2 linked regions of the Canis lupus familiaris genome follow. Each later gene encodes a partner of the first gene's protein in a complex. Links are inferred from orthologs where the notes say so. Each region holds a gene or a part of one and is shown on either strand. Other genes may lie near its edges.

Region 1 (3,653 bases):
TTAAGAACTGTTCCTGTTTGGTGTTTTTTTTTTTTTTTTTTTTTGCATTTCACTTTGCATACTAAGTTTAATAATCATCACTCAAAACAAAAAAAAAAGACAAATTTTATTTTTCTACTAACTCTTCCCTTTTCCCCTGATGGTTTACTTTTTCTATCCAAGATTCAAGAATATACACTGGCAAACATAAAAAGAAAATTATGACTCTGTAAGACAATGACTTCTCATCTCCTAGAAAATTGACAAGCTAGCATCCAGAAATGATTCCTATTTCCCTGAAGACACTTCATGTGGGATGTCTCTTTTTTTCCAGAAGAACTTAGAATTCAGAATGTCTAAAAAAACGAGGAAATAAAATAAGTGTCAGGCTTATGCTAGCAAGAGAGAAAAAGATGAACTAGGCATACCAACGGAGCTTCTACTTAAGTAGGAGAACCAAATACAAGTGCAAACAAGTGGAGTGCAGGCGACCAAAGGAGAGCACAGGGCAGGGAGAAACGCTCCAGCCAGGAGGGCTGGAGAAATCTCTGATCCTAAAGCACTATCCCTCAGGGTGGCCAAGAAGCAAATTCATCCAAATCATCCTTGACTGTCTGCCACAAATACACATCACTGGGTCCCATCCCAGATTCCTGAATCAGATCCTCTTGCGATGGGAGTCTAGAACTCTGTTTTTGTTTCATTTCATTTTTTATTAAACAAGCATTCCAGTGAATCTAATACAAGGGGTCCATGGACCATGTTTGGTCACACTGAAATACTACCATTTTTCTAAGTTAAGGGTAAGACCTACTGCATAGATACAGTAATGAAAAACCATAACAGAAAGACCTTATAAAGACAGCCACCACAGAAGCAGACAATCAAGGTATGTGGAAACTGATGAATACACTGACTCTAAGAGGCTGAACTCTGTTCTGGAAGTAATGGAGAATGAGTATAGCTTTTTGAACAAACTCATGCTGTGTTTGAATAAGATTATCTGGGAGTCCAAGTAAGAGGTACTAAGACATTAATGGAAAGGGGGAAAGGAGGCAACAGATGCAAGAGATTTTTCAAGGGTAGAAAAGACAGGACTTGGGATTTGATGTGTGTAGAGAAGAAAAGGAATTGAAGAGGACCATGAGAAAAATTTTAAATGAGCCAGGTGCCTTCTCTGTGTCTAACACTGTGTCAAGCACCACACAGCATCCACAAGCACAAGAATCATTAATTCAATGTAGTAACTCAACCCTTCCAATATTTGACAGGTGCCATTAACACCACCAAGGATATACACAGGAAAAAAATTCCTGTCCTCCAGGGGTTTAAAATTACATCTCTCCCTGTTCTTCTTTTATTTTGCCCTTACTTTTTATGAGGCAAAAAGTATTTCTGGAACCTGTCTCTCCTTGTGCTCAAGACCTTTGCTGCTAAAGCATTACTGGGTCAAGTCAAAAACATGTAGGTCCTCATCCTGAGTGGTTTTAGCTGTTTGTTCTTAATGGCAAATACTTAGGAATGCTTTCTTGACTACGATGACATGACAGTCTTTTGTTTTGTTTTTTTTTTAAAGATTTTATTTATTTTAAGAGAGAGCATGTGTGCATGAACAGGGAGGTGAGGGAGGCAGAGGGAGAAGGAGGCTCCCTGCTAGCCCCATGTGGGGGCTGGATCTCAAGCTGAAGGTAGATGCTTAACCAATTGAACCATGCAGGCGCCCCAACATGACAGTCTTGATACAAAACTATTAAGATGTAAATATCCAAATTCAAGTGTAAGTGTGGCCCAACTTTAGATAAATGGACTTAAAAAACTTTCCTACAGAAACTTTTAGAATACTGCTGTTTATTCATCCAATCAATATGAACTGTATGCTTTTACAGATGGATGGTTCTCCCCTGACCTGGAAGAATGAATAACATCCTGAGAAACCTTAGAGTGCAAAGTGTGATCAATGAATTAAAAAGGAGAATAAACAGCACTTAAAAACAGGAGGCAGGGTGACAACAGGTGAGAAGCAGCAGTATGTGTAGGAACTATCAGTTATAAGAAATACTGACCAAAGGACAAAAATCAACCACAAGCCTGAGAAGTGGACAGAGGTCACTTGTCAAGTTAAATTCATAATTGTCAATATACGATGAATGCTGCCAGTGACTTGATTTTAATAATAACATGAGTCTTTGATTAATGGACAAATTATTTGACAAGATACACACATCAAAGAGAAGAACTATACAAGACAGTAGGTGATCAAGTGCTACATTTATATGGTGTCTGCGAGAGCCATAATTCAGAGTAAGTTAAGATTTAAAATCAGTTTTATAAAATGCTGTCATGAACATGTTTCTAGAACTTTTTAGTAGCCAAGGCTGCTCTGAGTACAAACTGTAATAGCAAAGACTGCTGGCTGTGTATCATTTTGTAGCCACACCCATAAATGTGTATCACTTTAATGCCAGTGACATCACTAAACAACTTTCTAAGCAGTTTTACTTTTAACTGTCACTTTTTCAGGATCATAATACAGTAAAACACTTCAAATCTGAACTACCTCCAAATTGCATACAGTCTAGATTGTTATCATTCCTGGGATCTTTCTGGTCTTCGGCAAATAAAACCCAGAACATAATCAAAGCATTCACAATTAAACTGCAAAACACTTGATTAAAAAAAATCAATTTCAATAATTATTTGTATCTTTACTATCAATAATTATTGTATCAATAATTATTTGTATCTTTAAACTAGATCAGATCTTTTCTTTTCCACCCTACCTACAGTGCTTTGTAACAGCTATAAAGCTTTACCGTAGTCTAAGATTATGGTTTTAACGAAGAAACATTTTGTAATATGTGCTGAGAAACCTTAGAGAAATACACACAGTATGCAAATATATAAAGTACAATGACTTAAATGTTATCAAGGGCTTCAAACTCTTTATAAATTAATCTGTATCATAAAATGAGTACCTCAAAAGACCATATAAAAGACACACTTGAACAACTAGGTGTAGTTACCGGGCTCTCAGCCTGAGAGTAGAAGATGAATTTTTTAAAAGGATGAATATCACTGCTGCAATTGGGAGGAGATTATTTTCAAAACTAGAATAAAATTAGGAGAAAATGTCTAAGAAAATCACTATCCTCTTACTTACAAAAAGGAAAAATGACCAGTTAAACATAACTGCTTCACCAAATCTATGGGGTTTACCTTATTTTTATCTTGCCTCAGTAAGAAACTCCTCTAATCCAATCCAAATTTCTGAGACTAAAATTCTGGAGACATTTTAATGTGGAAGTCAGTGAAAAAAGTATGTTAGAATCAGCTTCCAGTACATGTCATTAAAATAAAATGACAACAATGTAAAAGAACAGATCTCTTACCAGTTGAAATTCTCGACGCCGGTCATAGGCATTCTGTATGCCACTGTCTGCCCACAGTGCTCTTATGATAGGGAGATACTGCAAAAAAACTTGAGTTTCCACCATTCCCTGGGCCGCCATGGGGGACCGGGTGTCAAACGCCATCATCTTGTCTCCGTTGCCTTGGTTTGAGTTATCTCCCCACGGAATATGAAGTTTCTCTCGAGCATCTACCAGCACCCTCATACCTTTGTTTAAAAAGAAAGAAAAAGGTGTGCTAGGAGTCATTAGATATCCTCAGTGATT
Region 2 (3,653 bases), on another chromosome or scaffold:
AAAACAGGTTTAGACCAAGCCTCCAGGCGGCCCTCGGAAACCTGATTCTGCACCTTTTATTCTACAGGCACCCAAAGGAGCTGCTGCTTTTTGACTCTTGTTCTAAGCAGAAGAACTGTCACATGAGCTCATTCTGGCTCCCAAGTCACAATCAAATGCTTCTGTGACTTTGCGTCCACATCACAGCTGACCACCTGTGCCCCAATCTCACTGCCCCTCCAAAGTGTAATTTTGCATAAGGGCAACATAGTTTAGGAAAGCAGAGAGGTCTGAGCTGATGGTGTGTTTACTGCTACGTGTGTGTGTGCACCTGTGTGCGTGCACACCTGCACGTGTTTGCACCTTTGTGCAAGTGTGTGGGCACCTGTGTGTGAGTGTGTGTACACTGTGTGTGCGCACGTGCAAGTGTATGCGTGCATCCATGCAGATGTGTACATGCAGGCGTGTGTAGGTGAGCACGGGGCCGTCAGAGCAAACCTCACAGGCCAGCTGCCTTCCTGAGTCCCCAGCCCCTGCACCAAAGGCCCCATCCCACACCCAGCTGACAACTACCTGCCATGGAAGAGGAGCCTATGATGGTGACCTGGGGCTCGTTGGTGACCAGGCTGGAAGAGATGTGGCCCATGACAGTGTCAACAGTCTCTATCAAGCCCACCACCATAGCATTGTCCTGGAAACAACACAACACAAGGAAACTGAGAAAACAGAACCTGCACAGTGACCATTCTGAAGCCTACCCTCCAAACACATGCAGCCTGGCCCTGACACCACCAGCACCCTCCAAAGGAAGAATGCCCTGTGTCTGTGGTGGCCTAGGCAGGCCGCCTGTCCCCTCAATGAGCAGATGAGCAGGAGCAGGGGAGAGCCCACAGCACTACCCTTCTCACAGGCAAAGAAGTGGCCAGTGAGGTCACCCACCCAGCTGACCTGGTAGAGAGCAGACATCCCAGTCACCTGGCCGTCAGCCACAAGGCTTCTATGCTTAGACACAGGTCACAGAGACCTGGTGCTAGCTACCCTCTGGACTCACCTCAGCAAAGCTCTGACCAGCCCCCACCTTGCCCCCTTCCGTTTCAGGAGGAGAGGGCTGATTGCCCCCCAAATGCCCTCCAGAACAAGGACACCAGAAGCTTCATCCTATTCTCCATGCAGGGGAGGGATGCTTTGGAGGTGCCAGCGCCCCAAATCCTCTCTGGCCTCTTCAAACCCCCTGGTGCATCCCTTCCCTCCAAAGGCCATCTTCACTCATTCTGATTCCCCAACACAGAGAGGATCCCAGGGGTCCCTCCTGGTCATTCCATATCTCAGCAGCAGCTCAGATCCAGCTGATGGGCCCTCGTCAGGCACACCACTACAGGGACAGGACCTTTCAGTGCCCTGGGTGTGCGGTGGCTGTGCCTCTCTGCCATCATGCCCTTTGCCTCCTTCCTGCCTTTCTGAAAAGCATCTGTCTGCTAAGGATCCTTAGCGCTCTCTCACAGATGCACACTCCATGAGAATCTAATGAGCTGGGAATAGAACATTGAGGCCAATTTTAGACATTTTCATTGAGGCCTGTGGCCTGATTTCAATCAGCAGAGCATGGCTAAACACATAGAAATCTGTGTCTCTCTGTAGTTCTGTGGGCAGTAGCTGATTAATACCTTCTCTTGAATGCACATTAGAGCCTTCCTAAGTCTGAATAGTTTCATGATTATTCATATTTTGTGGCAGAACATTAAGAAAAAATTACTTTATAATGATGCTGATAAAATAGGTCTGCTCAGGTCCTCCACTGGCCATTTTTTGGGGGTTCCCCATGCCGCAGTTCTGTACACAGAGTCCCTCTAGAAGCCTCCAGTCCCTCTGGATGGTTGTGCATTTTAAAAAAAAGAAATTGTTTCTAGGTAATACTAGATCAACTGTAAATTCAAATCCCTTGTTTTCCTCCCTTTGCTAGTGTTAACTCCATCTCATTCCATTTGAAACTGTTTAAATAAAAAGTTCATTAAATGTAAACCATACAGCAATCTCATTAATAACATTTCTGCCTCAAACTGGCAAATATTTTTTAAACCTTATAGGATATCAGGAGAATGAGCACTTTAATATTACAATGGTGTGGTTGCAACTCTGCTAAGCAAGGCAGTTGAGAGTCCTCCCCACTGCTGGACTTTGGAAGTCATGTTAAGACCACAGCATCAGAAAATGGACAGAGCCAGGACCCCAAAGTCACTGGACTGAGAGGCTCCTCGGACCCACTCCAGACTTTGCATGAGTGAGAAGTAAGTTTCAACTGTGCTATGCCACTGAGATGCAGGGGTCTATTTGTTACTGCAGCATAGCCTAGCCTAGCCTGACTGATCTCCCTACTGTCAGTGGAAACTGTCCTGCAGAGTCAAAGACAACCAGGTTAAATCAGACACACAGCGTATTTGTAGACTATGTGGGCAGGTAAGTGAAATAAAAGCAGAACGGGAAGGGGTGTGCTCAGGGTCGTGGTCCACCTTAGGACTTCAGGTATCTATTCTTTTATACATTTTTTACTATCTACAGTTTCTACCTTCACAACATATTAACTTGTTTTATTCATTAAATAGTAGGATCAATTAAGTTATTTTTAAAAAGAAAAAATTCTATTCTCCTTTCTAATTCTTTGGAGTTCAGGGGGAAAAGAAGCTTTTTTGGTTTTTACATTTATAACCATGAAATACACATTGTCACGTGTTCTACTTTTTTCACTTAATCTAGTGATCTTTAAACATAAAACATGTTTTTTTTTTATTACTACTCAAGAACAATGTGATGGTAAAACATATCTTATTAAAATGATAAACAGAGGGATCCCTGGGTGGCGCAGCGGTTTGGTGCCTGCCTTTGGCCCAGGGCGTGATCCTGGAGACCTGGGATCGAATCCCACGTCGGGCTCCTAGTGCATGGAGCCTGCTTCTCCCTCTGCCTGTTTCTCTGCCTCTGCCTCTCTCTCTCTCTCTCTCTCTCTGTGACTATCATAAATAAATTTTAAAAAATTAAAAAAAAATTTTTTTAAAAATGATAAACAGAGGTCAACCAAGTATACACTCAGGAAGAAATGCAACCATTTCCTTGCTTGGTGTTGAGGAGAATAATGTATCACTGACACATTCTTGAGCCATACAGAAGACATGGTACTTCACATCAGTTGTATCTGGTCAAAATGTGCTCTAATATTTCAGATTACAAAACTAAAAGATGCATCATTTCTCTTCAAGATGTGAATTGGGCCATATTTACACCAGTTCTAGGAAGTCACAGTGGTTCCCAAAGTGCATACGTTTTGAAGATCAAAATGTTCTTTTTTCTTACCTCTGATACATCAATCCAACTGGGCAGTTGAAGAACCTCTTCCATGGCTTTTAAGAAAGCCTAAAGGCAGACAAAATGACACTTCTTAGCATGTATCCTTAATCCTCAAAATCTCAAGACCTTTGATTACTCCATGTCTATTAAGCAATGGCTGGTTTGGATTTTACATGTAGTAATAAACAAAAATAGCTGATATCAGCATATTGGGTTATATTTTACAAGGTCCTTCAGGCCTACTATCTTACTTGTTCCCTGTGACAATCCATTCATCAGTGATAAGCATTCAGCTTAGTCATGGAGACTAAGGCACACACAGTGCCTAGGAGATA

Evidence for each region. Proteins that work in one complex are often made in the same cells at the same time.
Region 2: the proteins of GNA13 (region 1) and ADGRD1 are in contact, whole or in part, in a cryo-EM structure (PDB 9V0U), measured with the Homo sapiens proteins. The link is inferred for Canis lupus familiaris from reciprocal best matches to the Homo sapiens genes GNA13 and ADGRD1. Residues at the interface, in NP_006563.2 of Homo sapiens: Val49, Val216, Phe218, Phe359, Val362, Lys363, Asp364, Ile366, Leu367, His368, Asn370, Leu371, Gln373, Leu374, Met375; in NP_942122.2 of Homo sapiens: Asn599, Arg601, Leu657, Met660, Val661, Ile662, Val664, Phe665, Ser667, Val737, Ile738, Ile741, Ala761, Val764, Asn810.

The regions. Positions count from the first base shown.
Region 1 is NC_049230.1:11,987,653-11,991,305, forward strand, and holds part of GNA13 (guanine nucleotide-binding protein subunit alpha-13), read right to left. Parts: intron 3,596-3,653; coding exon 3,369-3,595; intron 1-3,368. UniProt on the Homo sapiens protein: Guanine nucleotide-binding proteins (G proteins) are involved as modulators or transducers in various transmembrane signaling systems.
Region 2 is NC_049247.1:1,522,873-1,526,525, forward strand, and holds part of ADGRD1 (adhesion G-protein coupled receptor D1), read right to left. Parts: intron 3,385-3,653; coding exon 3,325-3,384; intron 671-3,324; coding exon 553-670; intron 1-552. UniProt on the Homo sapiens protein: Adhesion G-protein coupled receptor (aGPCR) for androgen hormone 5alpha-dihydrotestosterone (5alpha-DHT), also named 17beta-hydroxy-5alpha-androstan-3-one, the most potent hormone among androgens. Also activated by methenolone drug.